Linked DNA regions of Oryctolagus cuniculus. The protein of the gene in region 4 interacts with the protein of the main gene of each other region in a pairwise test. Links are inferred from orthologs where the notes say so. Each region holds a gene or a part of one and is shown on either strand. Other genes may lie near its edges.

The links.
Region 1: the proteins of U2AF2 (region 4) and KHDC4 interact in binary tests that used the Homo sapiens proteins (3 or more experiments, as listed by UniProt). The two-hybrid records come from large-scale screens. The link is inferred for Oryctolagus cuniculus from reciprocal best matches to the Homo sapiens genes U2AF2 and KHDC4.
Region 2: the proteins of U2AF2 (region 4) and SUGP1 interact in binary tests that used the Homo sapiens proteins (3 or more experiments, as listed by UniProt). The link is inferred for Oryctolagus cuniculus from reciprocal best matches to the Homo sapiens genes U2AF2 and SUGP1.
Region 3: the proteins of U2AF2 (region 4) and THAP1 interact in binary tests that used the Homo sapiens proteins (3 or more experiments, as listed by UniProt). The two-hybrid records come from large-scale screens. The link is inferred for Oryctolagus cuniculus from reciprocal best matches to the Homo sapiens genes U2AF2 and THAP1.
Region 5: the proteins of U2AF2 (region 4) and SRPK2 interact in binary tests that used the Homo sapiens proteins (3 or more experiments, as listed by UniProt). The link is inferred for Oryctolagus cuniculus from reciprocal best matches to the Homo sapiens genes U2AF2 and SRPK2.
Region 6: the proteins of U2AF2 (region 4) and SCAF11 interact in binary tests that used the Homo sapiens proteins (3 or more experiments, as listed by UniProt). The link is inferred for Oryctolagus cuniculus from reciprocal best matches to the Homo sapiens genes U2AF2 and SCAF11.

What each region holds. Positions count from the first base shown.
Region 1 is NC_091438.1:42,767,353-42,770,852, forward strand, and holds part of KHDC4 (KH homology domain-containing protein 4), read left to right. Parts: intron 1-1,210; coding exon 1,211-1,339; intron 1,340-1,731; coding exon 1,732-1,811; intron 1,812-3,500.
Region 2 is NC_091447.1:66,071,977-66,074,726, reverse strand, and holds the end of SUGP1 (SURP and G-patch domain-containing protein 1), read left to right. Parts: intron 1-42; coding exon 43-188; intron 189-1,893; coding exon 1,894-2,023; intron 2,024-2,187; coding exon 2,188-2,214; 3' UTR 2,215-2,250; downstream 2,251-2,750.
Region 3 is NC_091433.1:92,919,832-92,923,959, reverse strand, and holds the start of THAP1 (THAP domain-containing protein 1), read left to right. Parts: upstream 1-1,328; 5' UTR 1,329-1,604; coding exon 1,605-1,675; intron 1,676-1,827; exon of another isoform or gene 1,828-1,981; coding exon of another isoform or gene 1,982-1,983; intron 1,984-4,128. UniProt on the Homo sapiens protein: DNA-binding transcription regulator that regulates endothelial cell proliferation and G1/S cell-cycle progression.
Region 4 is NC_091449.1:3,329,862-3,333,361, forward strand, and holds part of U2AF2 (splicing factor U2AF 65 kDa subunit), read right to left. Parts: intron 3,443-3,500; coding exon 3,304-3,442; intron 640-3,303; coding exon 560-639; intron 142-559; coding exon 19-141; intron 1-18. UniProt on the Homo sapiens protein: Plays a role in pre-mRNA splicing and 3'-end processing. By recruiting PRPF19 and the PRP19C/Prp19 complex/NTC/Nineteen complex to the RNA polymerase II C-terminal domain (CTD), and thereby pre-mRNA, may couple transcription to splicing.
Region 5 is NC_091434.1:139,062,370-139,066,361, reverse strand, and holds the start of SRPK2 (SRSF protein kinase 2), read right to left. Parts: upstream 2,801-3,992; coding exon 2,771-2,800; intron 2,437-2,770; exon of another isoform or gene 2,299-2,436; coding exon of another isoform or gene 2,283-2,298; intron 2,201-2,282; coding exon 2,146-2,200; intron 1-2,145. UniProt on the Homo sapiens protein: Serine/arginine-rich protein-specific kinase which specifically phosphorylates its substrates at serine residues located in regions rich in arginine/serine dipeptides, known as RS domains and is involved in the phosphorylation of SR splicing factors and the regulation of splicing.
Region 6 is NC_091440.1:136,677,101-136,680,600, reverse strand, and holds part of SCAF11 (protein SCAF11), read left to right. Parts: intron 1-162; coding exon 163-264; intron 265-3,288; coding exon 3,289-3,395; intron 3,396-3,500. UniProt on the Homo sapiens protein: Plays a role in pre-mRNA alternative splicing by regulating spliceosome assembly.

The DNA.
Region 1 (3,500 bases), on a different chromosome or scaffold from region 4:
GGCCCAAATATTTGAGCTATCATCTATTCCTCCCACGATGTGCGTTAGCAGAAAACTGGATCCAAAATGGAAGAACTGGGACTCACACCAGGCACTCCAATATAAATGCAGGCTCTGCAAGCTGTTTATTAACTGCTGCACCAGATTCCAGATTAACAATTTTGAGGCCGGTGCCATGGCTCAATAGGCTAATCCTCCACCTGCGGCACCGGCCCGCCGGGTTCTTGTCCTGGTTGCTCCTCTTCCAGTCCAGCTCTCTGCTGTGGCCCGGGAGGGCAGTGGAGAATGGCCCAAGTACTTGGGCCCTGCACCCGCATGGGAGACCAGGAGGAGGCACCCGGCTCCTGGCTTCAGATCAGCGCGGTGCGCCGGCCGCAGCGCACCAGCCACAGCAGCCATTGGGGGGTGAACCAATGGCAAAGGAAGACCTTTCTCTCTGTCTCTCTCTCACTGTCCACTCTGCCTGTCAAAAAAAAAAAAAAGAATTTTGAGAACATTGCGAGGACAAAATTTGATATGTTGTGATGATAGGGGTGGCTCAAAGACAACTTCCTTCTCATGAATGAGGTGTACAGGTTGTATGCATTGCTCTTTGTTTTATGACACAGCCAGCTGTTTGAGCTATAAAAGGATCATAATTGACTGTTTAATTTTCCTTTTGGAGGTTGCAGTTTCTAGTCCAGACTGTTTCTGTAATTATATGGTCATAAAATGGGCACAGGGGGCTGTTGTGGCACAGTGGTAAGCCATTGCCTACAACCCCAGCATCCCATATGACCACCAGTTTATGAGTCCCAGTTGCTTCCAACCCAGCTCCCTGCTAATAGGCCTGGGAAAGCAAGTGCCTGGGCCCCTGCTACCGACGTGGGAGATGTGAAAGGAGTTCCAGGCTCCTGCTTCCACCTAGCCCAGTCCCAGCCTCTGTGGCCATTTGGGGGTGAACCAGCAGTGGAAAATCAATCAGTCTCTCTAAGTTTGCCTTTCAGATAAATAAAATAAATTTTTTTTCAAATGGGCACAGGGCTAAGTTTACAGAACAGTCTAGTGTTGGCTTTCAGGTAAATCATTTATACTTTGGTATCATTTTGCTTGTTATTTTATTTGTGAAGAATGACCGAGTGTGCTTACAGGCAGGTGGGGGGAGGGGTAAGGAGGTGATGGGACAATTAAAAAGATTCGTTTTATCATATAAACTTTTTAATCTCGGTAGCTTCAAGCCCCTGGCAAAGGCCTCACCAGCAATAAAAGCAAAGATGACCTGGTGGTGGCTGAAGTTGAGATCAATGATGTGCCTCTCACGTGCAGAAACCTGCTGACTCGAGGACAGACTCAAGATGAGGTACGGAGGGATTGGGACTCTGGGGAAGGTGGCAGGCAGGTCAGCTCAGAAAACAGGCCCAACACAGATGGGAACATGGGAGGCATTTATTAGTAGGTTTGGGTCATGGTCTCTGAAGTCAAGGTTGAGTTTAGTTTAACTTCAGAGGAAGATCATGAAACATAGGAGTAAATTCCCTAGGTTGGTTTCAGTAAGAAACCATGGTATCAAATTTCAGGTACAGAATAGAACTCATTTCTGCCTTACTTGTTGGAATGAATTGCAATCAACCAATGAACACATCATCTTTTTTAAAAAAAAAATTTAAATTCTGTGTAACTGTATGGGATGAGGTACAGTGTTGGTATTTTTATACCTTCACTTTTTTTTAATAGAGCCGTTTCCTCTTGTAGATCAGCCGACTTAGTGGGGCTGCAGTATCAACTCGAGGGAGGTTCATGACGACGGAGGAGAAGGCCAAAGTAGGACCAGGGTATGTGTGCTTGTCCTCTGCTGTGGGGACACGCTGGGCGAGTGACTTGTGTTCGCTTCATGTTTTTCATTCTTAGGTGAATTCTTGTGTGGTTAGTAATTTGAGCGGGGTGTGGGTGTGCTTGCACATGCTTTATCCTGGGTGATAAGAAACGGTAGCAGCTGTGTTTTTCCCTGTCTCTTGAGTTTTTATTTCACAGTGTTTTTGTTAGAGGAAGCAAATTGAAGTTATATAAGAAGATGATTTTTAAGAATTTATTTTCATTTTATCTGAAAGATTTAAGCCAGGAGCCCAGAACTCAGTCCAGGCCTCCCATGTATTGGCAGGGACCCAGGTACTTGAACCCTCACCTCCTGCCTCTCAGGCTGTGCTTTAGCTGAGGCAGAAGCCAGGAACTGGGACTTGAACCAGGCACTCCAAGACGGGATGCAGGTGTCCTACACAGTAACTTTTCTTTAAGATTTCCTTATTTGGCCGGTACCGTGGCTCACTAGGCTAATCCTCCGCCCATGGCACCGGCATCCCCGGTTCTTGTCCTGGTTGAGGCGCCGGATCCTGTCCCGGTTGCTCCTCTTCCAGTCCAGTTCTCTACTGTGGCCCAGGAGGGCAGTGGAGGATGGCGTAAGTGCTTGGGCCCTGCACCCGCATGGGAGACCAGGAGGAAGCACCTGGCTCCTGGCTTCGGATCAGCGCAGCATGCCAGCTGTAGCAGCCATTTGAGGGGTGAACCAACGGAAAAAGGAAGACCTTTCTCTCTGTCTCTCTCACTATCTAACTCTGCCTGTCCAAAAAAAAAAAGATTTCCTTCCTTATTTGAAAAAGTTAGAAGGAGAGGTCTTTCATTCAGTGTTTCTCTCCCTAAATGCCTGCAGTGGCCAGGGAGGAGACAGACTGAAGCCAGGAGCTTCATCTGGGTCTCCTGCCTTGGGCCATCTTTTGCTGCCTTTCAGATGCCATTAGCAGGGAGCTGGATAGGAAGTGCAAAAATTGGGGCGTGAACCGGTCCCTATATGGGATGCTGGCATCACAGGCAGCAGCTTACCCTGCTATGCCACAACACGGGCCCCCATACAAAATGCCCATCACAAGAAGATAGTTGTTAAGATTTAACATACCTACATCTAAACTTATTTTCCTGTGAAAATTAACCCCCAACTGTGTGGTTACATTTAAGCTGTAAGTATGCGCATATTTTGTGTAAACTTAAAAAAAAAGTCTTGGGTACACATTTGACATGTCTGTCAAGATACCTATTTCAGGGGGCTGCACTGTGGCATAGTAGGCTAAGCCTCCACATGGGGTGCCGCATCCCATATGGACATTGGTTCAAGTCCCAGATGCTCTACTTCCCTTCTAGCTCTCTGCCATGGCCTGGGAAAGCAGCAGAAGATGGGCCAAGTACTTAGGCCCCTATACCCGCAGGGGAGACCTGGAAGAAGCTCCTGGGTCCTGGCTTCCAGTTGGCTCAGCTCTGGTCATTGTCTCCTTTTAGGACAATGGATGAAAGATCTTTCTCTCTAATTCTACCCTTCAAATAATAAATAATAAAAAACAAGACACAAATTTGTAAAAAGATACTTATTTCACACAGTGGAGTGTCTGGTTTCAGTACCAGCTTCCAAAACCTGATCCAGCTTCCTGCTAATGCACGTCTTAGAAGGAACGTAAGTTCATGTGTCCTGGCTTTGG
Region 2 (2,750 bases), on a different chromosome or scaffold from region 4:
GCCGTGGCCGTGGTGGGTGCCAGCTGCCGCCGCCTCCCACAGGAGGGCCGCGAGCCCGACTACTCGGAGTACAAGGAGTTCAAGCTGACCGTGGAGAACATCGGCTACCAGATGCTCATGAAGATGGGCTGGAAGGAGGGCGAGGGGCTGGGCTCCGAGGGCCAGGGCATCAAGAACCCGGTCAGCAAGTGAGTGGGGTCCGGGGGCTGGGGGCGGGGACAGAGCCATGGGGCAGCAAGTGAGTGGGGTCCGGGGGAGGCTGGAGGCGGGGACAGAGCCACGGGTCAGCAAGTGAGTGGGGTCCAGGGGGGCTGGGGGCGGGGACAGCCATGGGGCAGCAAGTGAGTGGGGGCAGGGACAGAGCCATGGGTCAGCCAGTGAGTGGGGGCGGGGACGGAGCCACGGGGCAGCAAGTGAGTAGGGTCCCGGGGGGCTGGGGGCGGGGACGGAGCCACGGGGCAGCAAGTGAGTGGGGTTCAGGGGGGCTGGGGGCGGGGATAGAGCCATGGGGCAGCAAGTGAGTGGGGTCTGGGGGGGGGCTGGGGGCGGGGACAGAGCCACGGGGCAGCAAGTGAGTGGGGGCAGGGATAGAGCCATGGGTCAGCAAGTGAGTGGGGTCCGGGGGGCTGGGGGCGGGGACAGAGCTACAGGGCAGCAAGTGAGTGGGATCCGGGGGGCTGGGGGCGGGGACAGAGCCACGGGGCAGCAAGTGAGTGGGGTCCGGGGGGCTGGGGGCGGGGACAGAGCCACAGGGCAGCAAGTGAGTGGGGTCCGGGGGGGGGGGCTGGGGGCGGGGACAGAGCCACGGGGCAGCAAGTGAGTGGGGTCCGGGGGGCTGGGGGCGGGGACAGAGCCACGGGGCAGCAAGTGAGTGGGGTCCGGGGGGCTGGGGGCAGGGACAGAGCCACAGGGCAGCAAGTGAGTGGGGTCCGGGGGGGGGGCTGGGGGCGGGGACAGAGCCACGGGGCAGCAAGTGAGTGGGGTCCGGGGGGCTGGGGGCGGGGACAGAGCTACAGGGCAGCAAGTGAGTGGGGTCCGGGGGGCTGGGGGCAGGGACAGAGCCACAGGGCAGCAAGTGAGTGGGGTCCGGGGGGGGGGCTGGGGGCGGGGACAGAGCCACGGGGCAGCAAGTGAGTGGGGGCAGGGATAGAGCCATGGGTCAGCAAGTGAGTGGGGTTCAGGGGGGCTGGGGGCGGGGACAGAGCCACGGGTCAGCAAGTGAGTGGGGTTCAGGGGGGCTGGGGGCGGGGACAGAGCCACGGGGCAGCAAGTGAGTGGGGTCCGGGGGGCTGGGGGCGGGGACAGAGCCACAGGGCAGCAAGTGAGTGGGGTCCGGGGGGCTGGGGGCGGGGACAGAGCCATGGGGTGGCACTCTGGCTGGTGCAGCCCCCACGCCTGGCCCAGCTGGCCTTGGGAAGGCCCTCTCTGAATTCCCGTCACGCTAAGCAGCGGGAATCCTGGGCACCAGCCCTCGCCCGGAGCGCTCTCCATGCACCCGCAGGGCTGGCCCCGCAGGGCGCTGTCCGCCGCCGCCGCCCACGCTCCCTGGAGCTGTGACAACCTGTGCTGACCGAGGGCCCGCCTTCCCACGCGGGACCCTGGGGCTGGGCCACTTCGGTTCTTCCTCCCCTCACAGAGGTGGCCCCCCAGCCCAGCCCCCGATGTGTGTCCTGGAGGTGTGGCTGTGAGCCCAGCCATGCCCAGGGTTCAGGGGCCGGGCCAGGCCAACGCGGGAGCCCGAAGCTCAATCCAGGCCTCCCGCGTGGGCGGCAGGGACCAAGCACTTGGGCCATCACCGCCGGCTTCCCCCCGTGGTACATGCCAGCAGGAAGCCGGAAGGGGACGTGGCGCAGCCCCGCCCCCTGCTCATGCCACCCGGTCGCCTCCGCACAGGGGCACCACCACCGTGGACGGCGCCGGCTTCGGCATCGACCGGCCGGCTGAGCTCTCCAAGGAGGACGACGAGTACGAGGCTTTCCGCAAGAGGATGATGCTGGCCTACCGCTTCCGGCCCAACCCCCTGGTGCGCTTGTCCCTCTCCGCCCAGCTCTCGCGGTCAGCCTTGGGCTGGGGCGGTCAGGGAAGGTGGCCCCGCCTGAGGGTGTGGACTTCGCTGCACGCGGCAGGAGCTGCTGTGTCTGTGTCCTGCGTTAACCGCTCCCCCTCTCCCCGCCTTGCCTCCCGCAGAACAACCCGAGGCGGCCGTACTACTGACAGCTGCGCAGGCGGCTTTCCCAGCACCGGTCCTGGACCCTGGAACGTGGCCGCGCTGCGCCCGCCCCTGCCGTCACCAGTGTCGTGCTGTGTATTAAAGTCTCAGTGCTCACCTGCTGTCCAGTCCCTCAGCGCCGGGCGGGGTCTGCATGGGCGGGGTCAGCGGGCGCGGTTGGGGGACCGCCCAGCCCAGCCCCGCCCCCCGGGAGGCAGGGCCCAGCCTTTCCTCAGACCACGTCCCCCACCTGCCCAGCAGGTGGCGCTGGCAGGACCCGGCGCGCAGAACAAGCCGCAGCTGGTGATGCTGTACACGTGGCCACCTGGGGCTCCACCAGTGGGAGTCCTGGGGGCCTCCCTTTGGAGGAAAGGTGTGTGCCGAGACCCCCAAGCCAGCAGCTCACAGCTGTCCAGAAGCCCCCCACCCCGGGGGCCTTGTTCACCTGCGGCTGCCCAGGAATCCGCCTTCCCGCTGGCCTTGCTGGTCCTCAGGCTGCTCCTGCAGCAGCAGAGCCCAGGGATCTCACCCTGTGGGGGCC
Region 3 (4,128 bases), on a different chromosome or scaffold from region 4:
GACGGCAGATTATGTACCGGACACTGCGGAGCGGTTCAAGACTGTTCACAGAAACGAGTGCAAGGCTTCACTGGAACAAGAGAGTTGCCTCGGTTGAGGAGGTCAGGAGCACGCGAAGCCCAGGAAAACAGGCTTCTTGTGGGAGGCACCGGAGAGCCTGCCTATTAAAGACCTACAGCTGCAGCAGAGCTTAAGCAGGAGACGCTGGAAAAGCAGAGGCGCCTGGTCCTAGAGGGCTTTGTGGCTGACCTTAAGACATCGGGATTTTGTTCAAAACACGAATAAACTGATGAAGCACAGGGGAGTGTCGGCTTCCATGAGGACTGCAGATGGCAAAGTCAGGGGGTTGCACCCACGGTGAGGGTCTGATCAAGAACAGGAGCTAAGAGCCGACGCTGCGGCACAGTGGGCAAAGCCGCCACTGCAGTGCCGGCATCCCATATGGCCGCCGGTTCGAGTCCCGGCTGCTCCATTTCCGATCCCGCTCTCTGCTGTGGCCTGGAAAGCAGTGGAGGATGGCCCAAGTCCTTGGGTCCCTGCACCCACGAGAGAGACCCGGAAGAAGCTCCTGGCTTCTCGGAAGTGAACCAGCAGATGAAAGATCACTTATCTCCCTCTCAAACAAAATACTTTAAAAATAAAGGACTCAAAAGAACAGGAGTTAAAGATGAAAAAGGAATGGACTTAAGAGGCGTGTACGGATTCTATAAAATTAACGTGGTGTCATCAAGGCGTTTGAAGACGACTCTGGTATAGACAGCCGTGGGACAAACGACTCGCAGGTAATACGGGAAGCAGGACAGATGCAGGCAGTTAACAGACGACCTGGGAATCACTAGCAAGCTGTCTAGAGTTCCGGAAACGCCCACGTTTCAGGGGGCAGAAAAAAGCAGAGCGTCCGAACCATGCAATCAGCAGTCCGCTCGCCGGATCTGCAGGGGGCAGGGGATAAAGAGGCAACGCCTCTGTGCGGTGGGACACTGCGCGCTACCGTCTCGGCAGCTGAGATGTCACCGGAATCCAATCGGCGACCTGGGAGAGCGGGCTGGCTCAGCTTGACAGCTGACCCCACACGCTGTATGTTTCCCACTCAAGGCTGCCCGGGGAAAACTCGGGGTACAGAACTCCGGGGAGCACCACCCGCGGCGCAGGGCTGGCCCTGGGAGCTTCGCCTTCCCCTAGCAGTCCCGGCCTAGACCCAAGTTCTGAAGCCCCGCCTCCTTCCGCAACGCCTAGCCACCGCCCCGCCCCACGACGCAGGAAACGCTCGGCCTCAGCCAATGGCCTGCTTCCTAGAAAAACGTTACCTCTGACCTCAGAGGCTACTCGGAGACGGTGGAAGAACTCCTCGCGAGAGGTGAGTTTGAAGCTGCCTCCGCCATCTTGGAGATGGGAGAGGGGCGATGGCTGTGGCCCTTCTGCTAATGCAAACTCCACAACGGGCGCGGTAGTCACCACCACCCCTCCCCGAGTGAAACCGTCTTCTCTGTAACCGTTGACCAAAGCTACAGGAGGAGAAGGCGTCCACACCGAGAGCTGCGACATCGGGAGCAGCTCCGCCTGCCTTCAGGGGCGGCAGAAGTGAAGGGACAGAGACCGGAAGGATGGTGCAGTCGTGTTCCGCTTACGGCTGCAAGAACCGGTACGACAAGGACAAGCCCGTGTCTTTCCACAAGTAAGTCCCCCTGCGCGCATCGCGGGGCCGGCCCCAGCCGGGGTGGGGGGCGCGCGGCCGGTTGGGCGCGGGGCGGAGCCGGGCGCGTGTCCGCGCGAGACCTCACGAGAGGGGCGGGGGCGAGGGCGGGGCGGGGGTCTCGGGCCGGGAGCCGGGGGCGTTCCCGGCCGAGCGGCGGTTCCTCGCGCGTCCGGACGTGGGCTTAGCGAGTTCCGCGCCTGCGGAGGGCGGATGGTGGCGGCCGCCGAAGGCTGAATGGGATAGGAGCGAAGGCCTTCCCCGTGCCCTCCCCCAACCCTGTTCTGTATGTATGTATAGGTGTGTGTGTGTATATATATATGTATATATGTATATAATATCTATATATACATATAGATATGTATATATGTATATATATGTATATATGTATATAATATCTATATATACATATATACATATATATATAATATCTATATATACATATATACACACATATATATATAAAGATTTGTTTATTTGAAAGCCACGGAGAGGGAGGGAGAGGTCCCTCATTCCCTCGTTCACTCCCCAAATGGCTGCCAAAGCCAGGAGCTCCCCACGGTCACCCATGTGAGTGGCAGGGGCCCAAGGACCTGGGCCATCCTGGGCTGCCTTCCTGGGTGCACCGGCAGGCAGCTGGGTGGGAAGTGGAGCAGCCGGGAGAAGCTGCTCTTTTAGGAAGGGAGAAATTCAGAGTTTATTTTGGCCAGGATATCAGGGAGGTGTTTTTTCTCGCAAACCTACGCCCCAACCTTAAGGATCCCAAAGATTGAGACAGCTTGTGGGTGTGCCGAGAGAAGACCTGCTCTCCCTGAGCTCCTAGTATGGTGGAGGCCATAAACTCAGGGCTGTTTTACCCCGCTGGTCCTGTGGCTCCACTGCTACAGCTGGGGGTAGGGGAAATAGACTTTTGAAAATAAAAAGCTGAGAGGTTGGGTTGTGGCGTAAAGCCGCTGCCTGCAGTGCCGGCATCCCATATGGGCTCCGCTTCCAGTCCAGCTCTCTGCCATGGCCTGGGAAAGCAGTGGGAGATGGCCCAAGTGCTTGGGCCCCTGCACCCACGTGGGAGACCTGGAGGAAGCTCCTGGCTCCTGGCTTCCACTGCAGCTCCGGTCGTTGCAGCCAACTGGGGAGTGAACCAACGGTTGGAAGACACACACACACACACACACACTCTCTCTCTCTCTCTCTCTCTCTCTGCGCCTCTGCTTCCTCTTTCTATGTAACTCTTTCAAATAAACAAATAAATCTATAAAAAACAAAAAAACACACAAAACTGCAGCATTGGATTACCTAAGGATACCAGATGCTCAGCAAAAGGAGATACAATGGCATTTTCATTCAGCCTGATTGTTTACAAATGTCATTACCCATGGATCCAGTGGTAAATTATATGAATTACTCATAGATGAATAATTACCAAGCAAAATGTTAAGTGTTGGGGCATTGTTATATTTTAAAACATTTGTTTATTTAAAAGGCAGGTGACAGGGAAGACTTCTGGCCAGAGAAGCCAGGAGCCTGGACCTCGGTCAGGTCTCCCATGTGGGTGGCAGGCACCATCCTCTGCTGCTTTCCCAGGCGCATTAGCAGGGAGCTGGATTGGAAGTGGAGCAGCCAGGACTCAAAGCGGCACCCATATGGGATGCTGGCCTCACAGGCAGTAGTGTAACCCACTACACCACAGCACCGGCCTTGTGTGTTTAACGTGTTTGATGTAATGTGAGATGAACCCTGGAGAAATAAGAGTGGGTAGAGCATGGAGACCTCCGGAATTGCTGTTCTTCTTGGAGAAGGGTCTGGAACCCAGGATTCGGCTCCATACGTCTTAGTATAACTGCTGGGTCTGTTAGAATGCCTGAGAAGTGAAGGACTCCCAGAGGCTACATCAGCGGATGGTAACAGCGTCCTCTGCATTCAGCTCCCCATCTCCCTGGCCCCCTTCGAAACGGGTGGCAGAGCAAATCTAAAATCCAAGGCAGGCGCTTCACAGGCACTGGAAACTAGCTCAGCATGACATTCGCACACCAGGAACGCTGTGTTTCTGCTCACTGACTCCAAAGAAGGGCTAGCCTCATCTCACTGCTTTCTAAAGGAGCAGGTTTCAGGAGCGTAGATGGGAAAGAGCCTGCCAAAACCTCACAGACACCTGAGAATGTGTAGTCCTTGGGAGAAGAGGTCCTGCATACTGAGTTTTTTACAAGCACTTGCTGCAAGAGTTGGTACTTCAGAGGCCTTTTGCAGCAGACATTTTTCTTTCTTTTTTTTTTTTTTTTAAGAAATTTATTTGAAAGAGTTACAGAGAGAGGTAGAACCAGAGAGTCTTCCAGTCCAGTCTGCTGGTTCACTCCCCAGATGGCCACAACAGCCAGAGCTGAGCTGATCCAAAGCCAGGAACTTCTTCCAGGTCTCCCACGCTGGTTCAGGGGCCCAAG
Region 4 (3,500 bases):
CCGGGGCCTGGGGCTCACCTGATCCGTGACGTTGATGTCCACGTACTCACAGAAGGCGTAACCCTTGGAGAGCCCCGTGGCACTGTCCTTGACCAGGTTGAAGGCCTTCAGAGGCCCGAAGGAGGTCAGCAGCTCTTTTACCTGCGACAGACCCAGACCCCATCAGGGCAGGGCAGGGGTGAGGGGAGCAGGCAGGCCCAGACCCCATCAGGGCAGGGGCAGAGGTGGGCAGCAGGGGGCAGGGGAGCAGGCAGGCCCAGACCCCATCAGGGCAGGGGTTGGGGGTGGGGGGAGCAGGCAGGCCCGGACCCCATCAGGGCAGGGGTGGGGGTGGGGGAAGCAGGCAGTCCCAGACCCCCGGACCCCATCAGAGCAGGGGCAGGGGTGGGGGGTTGGGGAAGCAGGCAGTCCCAGACCCCATCAGGGCAGGGGTGGGGGGTGGGGGGAGCAGGCAGGCCCGGACCCCATCAGGGCAGGGGCAGGGGTGGGGGGAGCAGGCAGGCCCGGACCCCATCAGGACAGGAGTGTGTGTCTGTGTCTGCAGCGGGGGAGGGCTAACCTGGTCATCATTCAGGTAGTTGGGTAAGCCCCCGATGAACAGTTTGTGAGCAGAGTCAGGGACCACGGTGGACACAACTCCTACCGGGAGAGAGGGGAGGACTTCAACTCCGTGACAGGTCACGTCCATGGGCCCAGGATCCTGGGCCGTCCACAGGACCTGGTACGGGGTGGTGGGGTCATGCCACACCCAGCTGTCCACGCTGTGCACCGCGGCACACGGCAGTGGAGCCGGCTCCTCAGAGCGCAAGCCCTGTGCCTCCAGCCCCAGCCGCCCTCAGCCGTAGCCACAAACCAGCAGCGCGGCACTGACCAAGGCACACTGCCAAGTTACAAGCGTGGCCCTCAGGCCTGGGGAGTCTCCCCACGGCCCTGGCCTCAGGGAGGCAGTTCTCGGCCTGAGGGGTGGGGCAGGGGCTGCCCCGGGGACTCCGCATGGCTTCCAAGCTCTGACTGAGCTCCACACCCCGCCCCGCCCTCCCACTGGCACTGCACGGACAGAGGTCTGCAGGGCCAGCAGCTCCACCAGGATGCCAGCCCCATCCAGCCTCGCCGCTGCTTCAGAACCGGCCAACGCAGCCGGCCCTGCGCTGCAACAAACCCAGCTGCCAGCCGCCACGGGGAGACCCGGATGGAGCGCCAGGCTCCCAGCTTCGGCCTGAACCAGTGAGTGGGAGTGCCTCTGTCTCCCTCCCCCTTCTCCACTTCAAATAAATACCCAGAAAGACCCAGTTAATACGGCCTCTCCTCCTCACCCGCCAGGTACCAAGTGGGAGCGCTGTCACCCACCTCCATCCTGACCCTGGGGAGGAACAGGCAGGCCAAGGAATGCGAGATCAACTCAAAACTAAGGAAGAAGGGGCTCAGTTAAAGTTTAACTTTAAGGGCCGGCACTGTGGCACAGCGGGTAAAGCCACCGCCTGCACTGCCAGCATCCCATGTGGGCGCCAGTTTGAGTCCCGGCTGCTCCACTTGCAATCCAGCTCTCTGCTGTGGTCTGGGGAAGCAGTGGAGGATGGCCCAAGTGCTTGGGCCCCTGCACCCACGTGGGAGACCTGGAGGAAGCTCCTGGCTCCTGGCTTCGGATCGGCGCAGCTCTGGCCATTGCGGCCAATTGGCGAGTGAACCAGCAGATGGAAGACCTCTCTCTCTCTCTCTAACTCCACCTTTCAAACAATAGCTCTTTAAAAAAAAATTGAAATAAAGTTCGACCTTACTCTCAGCTGCCCCAGGGCTTGCTCTCCCGCCCCGGCCCCTCCTGGCCGTGCTGATGTTCCCCCACAGAATCAGGCACCAACCCCGCCAGCTCCCGACCAGCCCAGCAGCGGAGTGCGGGAGACTCAGCCTGGCAGCACCGGCGGCAGGCGGGCCAGGAGCAGGGTCCCCCCAGGTGCTCCTGCAGCCCAGGCGTGCACCACGCTGTGCACAGAAGCCCTGGCCACAACACTAACTGGAAGCCGAGGCACAAGGCAAACACCGGAGTCAAAAAGGCAGCCCCAAAGTTGAACTCAACCACGTGCTCCCCGAGACAGCCCAGCAGGCTGGGGGCAACTGCCCAGTCCCCCCGTAGCCAGACGCCGCGCTCGGGCTCTGAGCCGGCGTGCCAAGTCTCAGGGAGGCAGTAGCCAGGCTCCCCAGGCCTGGGTGTCTCCCTTTAAGGAGCCGGGAGAACACTCGCACCCTGGGTGCATGCTAACGGCCCGTGCCAAGTGTGTGCCTCAGCCTGACCTGATGCCGGGCAGCAGGGTGCCCCGCAGGCCAGCACCTGCTCCCCACAACTGCTTCCTGACCCGTGCTTTTGCTTCTAGCCTCTGCACAGATTACAATTACTGTCCTCTGGGGGAACGCCAGGCCCTGACAGGGAACCCCCCGGCAGAGCCGCGCTTCCGGCCGTGCCCTTCCCAGAACACAGGCTGCCCAGCCACGCTCCCACTGCTCCGCCCGGCCGACAGCTGTCACCAAGGGAGCGGACCAGGAGTCACGCCCTGAGTCCGTGCCGGGCAGGCACTGGCCGGGCAAGGACCCCACTGACTTCACCTCCCTGGGCAAGTTACGGACCACCTCGTGCCTAGCAAGCTTTCGCAGTAAACGGCACCCTGCCCCAGGACAGCCCCGACGCCGCCCAGGGACTGCTGGGTGCCAGCCTTTGGCCCTGGATGGACAAAGGCCGGGTGGACAGTTCAACCAGGCAGCCCCGGGCTCCACAAACGCATCATCAACCTTGGGCCTCCCGCTCACCTACAGCGGCACCAGCTGCCTCCACGGCCAGAGTGCTTCCTGCACCCCCAACAGGAGGGTCTCAAGCCCAAATCCTCAGTGACCCTGACGGCAACCTGGCCCGGGTGCCAAGGGCAGCCTGCACACTTCCTAGAGACAGCTATTGCATGCTGGGAAGTCCTCATGCAGCCCACTCAGGTGGAAATGGCCTGGAACACAGGACCCAGGGCACACACTGGGAGCCCTGCACCCTCCGAGGTCCCCAGGCCTGGAGGCCCAGGGCTGGGGTGAGGCCCAGGGCAGGGGTGAGGCCCAGGCTGCAAGTCCCACACCAGCTGCTGCACCTGCAGCCTGGTCCTCGTCAGCCCCCGAGCAGCTGTGTGTCCTCACGCAGACCTCAGCCCAGCCGCTGTGGCCAGGCCCCACCTCGGCCACGCAGGGGGACCGCCCGACTCAGGGCGTGGGGAAGCACCACACCATGCCTACACAGCCGGGCTGGGCTGAGAAGGGGCCCGGCCCCCCACTCACCAGGCACGTAGACGGAGGGGTTCTCCGACATGCCGGGCAGGGGCTGGTAGTCGTGAGGCCTGCGGATCTTCAGCGACTGGCCCTGGAAGATGATGCCGTCGAAGGCCATGGCCTGGGTGGTCTCATCCACAGAGCGGAACTGAGAGACAGGAGAGAGGGGGTGAGGGACAGCCCCCAGGGCTTCTCTTCCCTTTCAC
Region 5 (3,992 bases), on a different chromosome or scaffold from region 4:
TGTCACCCGCTCTGCGGTTCTCCCCAAAACCCTAGAGTGTCTGCTTCGTGAGCAGCTGTGTGTGCTTCATTCAACGCTCCATGACCACCTCCAAAAGATGTGCGGGTATCTGGTGAGTACATGACTAAATCACATCCGGTGTTTCTTGCAGATAATGTCTGGATTCAAAGAATAAGTGAAAAGCGGCAATGTCTCGATGCATCAGCTAGGGAATTGGCTGGTCCCTTCTTGCTAATTATATGGCAGACCAGCCAGTTCATCTCCTCATAGCTAGTGTTCTTTCCCTTAAATCGTATCACATGTACACAGTGGAAGGAACTGGGAGATTAACCTATGAGAGTGAAAGTAGAACATTGTGGATATTCGCTGACTCTTTATAAATATCCTACATAAATCCAAACTGTAGCATGCCAAAAACTGCTATTCACCACCATGAAAGTCATACCCTGAAATATTAAGATATAAAACACACTGAATTGAAACAAATTTTCTACGTGTACTCAAGTAAACCATGCATACTTGTGTATGGGGTACTTCATAAAACTCACAGGAAATGGAATTAAAGGTCTTTCAGTTCAGACAACTTTGAAGTCCTTGCAATTTTCCCACCATATGCTTTCATGAACGCTAATATGAATGCCTTATATGCATGCATTTCAAAAACTTTATGCATGAAACTTTTAATTCCATTTTCCACTTTCTCGAGTAGCTTCATATCTATTTATATATACAAATTCAATCATTTCTCAAACTGAGGCTATGCTTTTCCCAACTTCTATGTTTCTGAACATAACGAGCTCCGTGGAAATAAACCAATGCTCTGACAGCTGTGGTTAAAACTCAGTCCTCACTCACTCCGAATCCTCCCCGTTACAGGTCTCCTGACTTACAGGCTCAACATCACTGGTTCGCCAAGGGAAATCCCAAATGGAAGGCTCTAATGGACCTGACAGCTTAGCATTAATTTCTTAAACGCGTCTGAAAGTACCAGAAATCCACGCCTTTCGCCCTCCTGAGAATTCAACGTCCGACTTGACCCGGCGGTTCTTCAAGTGCCTAAGAAACCCCTTTCCCGCACTCGCGGGTTCCTGTTCAGGAAGGCATGGTCCAGCCGAAACCCGGCTTGCGGAGCCCTCCATGCACTTTGCAGTTGGGCTTTCCGCGAACAAAACACCCGGCCGTGGACACACCAGCACCTTCGTCACGGGTCAAGGCCGCGGCGAAGGACACAGCGACGGGAACGCCTCTGCGCCCTTCCCCGAAGCACCAAGCCACGGCGCAGAGTAGGTTTCGCTCCACACCCGGAGCGAGGCCCCCGTTCGGAAGGGGTAACGAGGCTCACGGCGGGCACGGGCACGGGCACAGCCCGGCCGGGCGGCAGCGGCGGCCCCAAGCCGCTCTCCGGGAAAGGTTCCCGGGCAGGGCCGGGCGCAGGCGGCGGCCGCGACGTCGACGCCCCCGGCCCAGGGCCTTGCAGCGCGCCCCGCCGCGCACCAAAGTCACGCTCGACCCGAGCACAAAGTTTGGAAGACGTACCCGAGCGCCGAAACGCACGGGTCTCAGAGCTGAGCTCGCGCCAGGGACAAGTCTCAGGAGATCCCTTCGACGCCCGGCTCGCGTGTGGGGCAGAAAGGCCGCGAGGCGGCCTCGCTGAGAAGGAGGCGGCGGCGGCGGCGGCGGCGGCAGCGACGCCCACTCAGACGCCCAGCTCCTCTTCCTCCCGGGCCCCGCCGCCCAGGTGCTAGCCGCGCAGCCGCCTCACGCGCGCGCCCAGCGCGAGGGAGCCAGGCACGGGCGCCGGGGCCCCTCCTGAGGAGGGCCTGCGACCCCCCGGGCCAGCCCGGCGCACGCCCGGCGCCTCCCCGCCGCTCGCCGCCGCCGGCCGCGGAGACCCGGTCTGGGGGCGCGGGCCCGGGGGTCCGCGGCGGGGCGGGCGCGGGGCCGCACACCCCTCCCCCGCCCGCCGCCCCTCCCCCCGGGCCGCCCGCGGGGCGCGCTGGAGCCGAGCGCCGGCGTCCCGGGGGACCAGCCCGCCCGCCGGCCCGGGGGACCCGGGCAACTTTGCCCTGCGCGGCCGCCGGCTGCCGCCCCTCGCCCCCGGCGAGGCAGGGAGGGGACCCCGAGACGAGCGCGGCGTGGACTCACTTTTTCGGATGTTTCTCTCTTTTCGGCCTCCGCTTTCGGGCCTGAATGGCCAGCACTAAGGAAAGAGAAGACACACATTAACGGTCGGGCCGGGCGGCGTGAGGGCCGCGAGGCGGGGGGCGCCGCGGGACGCTCACCTTTCCGGGAACTCATCGCTACGCGGCGGAAGCGGGGCGGGGGGCTTCGCGGCGGCGGCGGCCGCGGCGGCCGCGGCGGCAACGCGGGAGCCGAGCCGAGCAGAGCCGAGCCGGGCTGCAGCCTCCCCTCACTCCGCCAGCCGAGGAGTCAGAACCGCGCCTGCGCCGCCGCCGCCGCCGCCGCCGCCGCTCCCGCGGGGACCCAGCAAGACCCGCCCCCGTCCGGCCCCGCCCCCGCCCCGCCCCCCGGCGGTCCGGGGGGATTGGGACCCCACGCGCGCCCCCCACCCCGCGGCCGCCGCCGCCACCCACCCGTGGCGAGAGGACTACCGCCCTCTAGGCCTGTCTCGCCCACGGCCTCGCCCGCCCCGGTCCGCGGCCCAGGCTGCCGCCTCCTGCGCCCTTGCGGCGGGCGCGGGGCCGCCCATCGCGCTCGGCCCCCGGCCCGCCGACCCTCCCTCGCCAGCCAAAGCCCCTGCCCGCCGCACCCCGGCCGGTCGCGCTGGCCGCCTGTCCATGCGCCCGTCGGTGCCCGGCGCCTCCGCGGGGCTCACACCACCTCTCTTCCCGCGGCCTCTTCTCCCCCTTGGCTCCTCTACATCCTTGCATCCCCATGAGCGCCGCTTCCTCCAATCCGGCGCGCGTGGAAAGGGCACAGGACCAAGAACCGGGAGCCCTGGGCCCTAGGTTTGCAGTGTGACCTTGGCAAAGTCGTTTTCTCTCCCCACCCCACCGCACCCCTTCACCCGCCCCTCAGAATTGGGTTAAGTTTAAGGGATGAAAAGATCCACAGAGCGTTGACAAATAGGATGCGGCTTCTGCACGTGAATTGAAGCCCAGTCCGGTGAGGAACGTGTTAGCCTAACAAAGAACTGCACCAAGTAGTTCTGGTCTCCATCTTAAAAGAAGGCCATGAAGTCCTCCGGAGGTCCAACCGTTTAACCAGTCAGGATCCGAATTCAGGTCTGGCGGCTCCAAACCCGGTCCACCTTACCAGACTGCCTAGTCTACAGGCGGGAATCAAGTCGATGATGACACAAATTTAACCGCAGTGCTCCCATAGTGATTTAAATCATTACAATCGTTTTGAAAAAATAGGCATCCTGGCCATTGACTCTCTCCCCGGTCACACAACTGGATCCTGAACTAACGGAAGTAGCTTATCTTACCCCAAAGATGTTAAACCCAAGAACAAGACCAAAATAAAAACATTGCTTGAATTTTGAAAAGCTTTAGATTCCTGCAACTTTTTCTTTTCCAAAGTATCAAACCTACAGAAAAGGCGCAAGAAAATATAATGAACAGCCATACGAACCCATAATCACCAATATTTAAAATTTCACCACATTTGCTTTCTGTACCCTTTATCCCCAAATATTTCAATGGGTTTCTACTGAGGATAAAGATGTTCTCCTACATAATCAGAATTCCATTATCACTCCAAGACAATTTAACACTGATGCAGTATGATTATCTGTAATATACAGGCCATATGTGAATTTTCAAAATGGCCCTCTTATTAGCCCTTTTAGTTGATTTTTTTTCCAACTCAGGATACAGTCAAGGGTCTTTCATTGCATTTGGTTCTCATGTCTTTTTTAGCTCCTTTATTCTAGAGTAATCCCTGGTTTGGATTTTTTTTTCTTTTGTAACATTGACTTTTTTTTGAAGAATCCAGTTCTACTGTTTTGCAGAGTGTTCAATTCGTAT
Region 6 (3,500 bases), on a different chromosome or scaffold from region 4:
TTGCTTATTTTAGGAATGAGTTTATTTTGAAAATGTTCAAATAGAAAAACATATGCTTCATATTATTAGGCAGGAAAACTGCTGCTGTTCTTGATGTAAGCCTATTTAAATCAAAAATTAAATATTTGGCGTTCCCATGACCCTCCAAAATTTATCTTTCAGTACAGAATTTATAGAAGTCAATGAAATCAGTGAATTGATTAGGCAGAAGAGGCGAGAACTGGAATTGTCATGGTTTCCTGATACGTTACCTGGAATTGGAAGGTAAAAAAAAAAAGATTACTAAAGTGTTTATATGCTGTCATGAACACAGAATAGCATTAATACTTCTTTGGTACAGGGGCACATTATTCAATAAGAATCTTCCTAAGGAATTGTCCTACAAAGCTTTGGTGTTTCAAATGCCCTTGGAAGTGTCTCCTTAGTGTTGGTTTTCTAGTGTAAGCATTTCTGTGCTAGAGTAATTTACAAGGGAGAGCACCTGGGCCTGATACTGTGGCGCAACAGGTTAAGCCTCCCTCTTCTGCGCTGGTGTCCGAAAGAGGCACCAGTTTCAGTCCTGGCTCCTCTATTTCCAATCCGTCTCTCCCTGCTAAGGTACTGGGAAAGCATCAGAAGATGGCCCAAGTACTTGGGCCCTTGCACCCAGGTGGGAGACTTGGTGAATCTCCTGGCTTTGGCCTGGTCCAGCCCTGGCCATTGTGGCCATTTGGGGAGCGAACCATCAGATGGAAGACCCCCACCCCTGGTGTGTGTGTGTGTGTGTGTGTATGTGTGTATGTGTGTGTAACTCTGCCTTTCAGGAAAAATGTGACATGTACACACCCAGAAATATTATTCAGCCTTAAAAAGGCCAAGAGAGGAGTGAGCCAAAGGATGGAAGATCTGTCTCCTCCCTCTCTCTGTCTCTTCATTTGAAAAGAGACATGGAGGGGCTGGCGCTGTGGCGTAGAGGGTTAACGCCCTGGCTTGAAGCGCCAACATCCCACGTGGGCACCGGTTCTAGGCCTGGTTGCTCCTCTTCAGATCCAGCTCTCTGCTATGGCCTGGGAAAGCAGAGAGGAAGACCTCTCTCTCTGTCTCCACCTCTCCCTGAAACTCTGTCTTTCAAATAAATAAAATAAATCTTACAGAAAGAAAAAAGATGGGTGGGGTGTGAGAGCATCTACAGAACGTTTGTTTCTTGCGAGCATTCCCACCGTTACGCTTCCTCTGCTCTGTGCCCTTGCTGGTACCTTGCGCTGAAGCTCTGTTACTATAGTCCCCTTCTCCAAAATGTCCTTCTGAATGGGTAGTCAGTCATGTGTCTTCTCTGCCTTGGCATTCGTGACTGTGTGTCCTCTGGTACTTCTGGATGTAGGTCCTGAAGCTCGTAGCCAAATGCCCTGTCCATAATTTGTACTTAAATCAGACTGCTCTGTAAAGCTCATTCCTGGAGAACAGTAGTATTTTATCTTTTATGTCACTAGAATGTGGTTCTGCATTTACCCTCTCAGAATAAGAACAGAGCCTAAATAGAAATAAAATTAGGAAGTCCAGGTATGTACATAACAAAACTTTCCTTACAGTTACATATTTTTGTACAAGTTACACACTGTTTTTCAAGCTTCTCTTCTACTCTAGAATCTCACTATTCTGAATGAAGTAATGGTTGTTAGGAGAACTCAGCTGAACAAGGAGGAGTACAAACAGGAGCTGACAAGGGCCTTGGGCTGGAATGCAGACAGTTGTGGAGGGTTGTAACAGGTCTGTCCACACATTGGGTGCATTAAAGAGCCATTGTCCTCAGAGTGAGGAATTTTACCATGACACTGATAGTACAGCACTCACTGGTTGCCTGGGGAGGAGGAAGTAGGGTAGAAGCGTGTGAGGTGCCTTCTAGACAGGCGAGAATGCCAACTTTCTAGACTGGGCTGTAGTTACACAGAAATGTACACACAGACTGTGTTGTTACCTTAAGCACACTGATTTTCTTCAGTAGTGCTGAAGAAAGAATGAAAACTGAAACAGGGGCTGTTGTTTGGTGCAGCCGTTAGGATACCGCTGGAGTTGGCCACATGCCTCAGAGTGCCTGTGTTCAGGCCCTGGCTCTGCTTTTGATCCCAGCTCCTCATTATGCTGGGAGGCAGCAGATGATGGCTCAAGGCCTTGAGTCCTTGCCACCCATGTGGCAGACCCAGATTGAGTTCTAGGCTTCTGCCTTTGGCCTAGTCCAGTTCTACCTATTGTGGGCATTTGCGAAGTGAACTAAGGGATGGAAGATCTCTGTCTGTCTCTGCCTTTTAAATTAAAAAAAAAAATGAAATTCTTAATACCAAAAATTACATTAAATTGTTTAAAAGAGAAGCACCTGTGTGTGTTAAGTTACCTTCATCTCTCTTTGCCAATAATTTATCAGGAAAACATACTTTTAAAGATTTTTTTTCAGGGTTGGTATTTTTCATAGCTGTTGATTGATTTTTTTATTTTGTTTATTTGAGAGGTAGAGTTAGAGAAGGAGGGAGAGAGAAAGGTCTTCCATCCGCTGGTTCACTCCCCAAAGGGCTGCAACTGCTGGAGCTGGGCCCATCTGAAGCCAAGATTCAGGAGCTTCCTTTGGGTCTCCCACGTGGGTGCAAGCACTTGGGCCATCTTATACTGCTTTCCTAGGTCATTAGCAGAGACCTGAATCAGAAGAGGAGGCTGGGACTAGAACCAGCACCTGTATATGGTGCTGGCACTGCGGGTGGAGGCTTAGCCCACTATGCCACAGTGCCAGTCCCTAGCATAGCAGCTTGACACCCATGTCCCACATTGGAGTGCCTGGGTTCCGTTCCCAGCTTTGGCTCTCAACTCCAGTTTGCTGCTAATACAGAACCTGGCAGAAGTGATGATGGCTTGCTTAAGTAATTGAGTTCCTGTCACCATGTGGGAGACCTGGATTCAGTGTACTGCTCTTGGCTCTTGCCCTAGCTATTATGGCCAGTTGAGGAGCAAAGCAGATGGGAGCTCTCTCTCTGTCTGCTTCTGTGTTTGTGTGTGTATATGTCTGTCTCCTTGCCTCTCATAAATAAATAAATACATAGTTTTGGTTATTAAAAGGTTTTTTTTTTTTTGCAACCATTTGGTAGCCATCTTTGGATAATGAGCATCCCTGAATTAACATTTTCAGATATTTGGGCAAAATAAGTTTAAGCACTCTGCTTTAATATTTTTAATCTAATTTGGGATATTGATGGTTTTGAATTGCTGATTTAAATTTTTAAACCATTTAAACAGAAATATCTTTATTTTGTTTTGAATTTTCAGAATTGGTTTTATACCTTGGAATACTGAAACAGAAGTCCTTCCTCTCATTTCTTCCATGTTGCCCAGAACTATTTTTCCAACAAGTACCATATGTTTAGAAAATTTTGGTAAAGTTTATGAAATGTTTATTTTATTATTATTGCTTCTGATTTCTAAAAAATGTGAATATTGATGACATAGAACAACTTTAACTAAGGTATAGTAACTCCTAG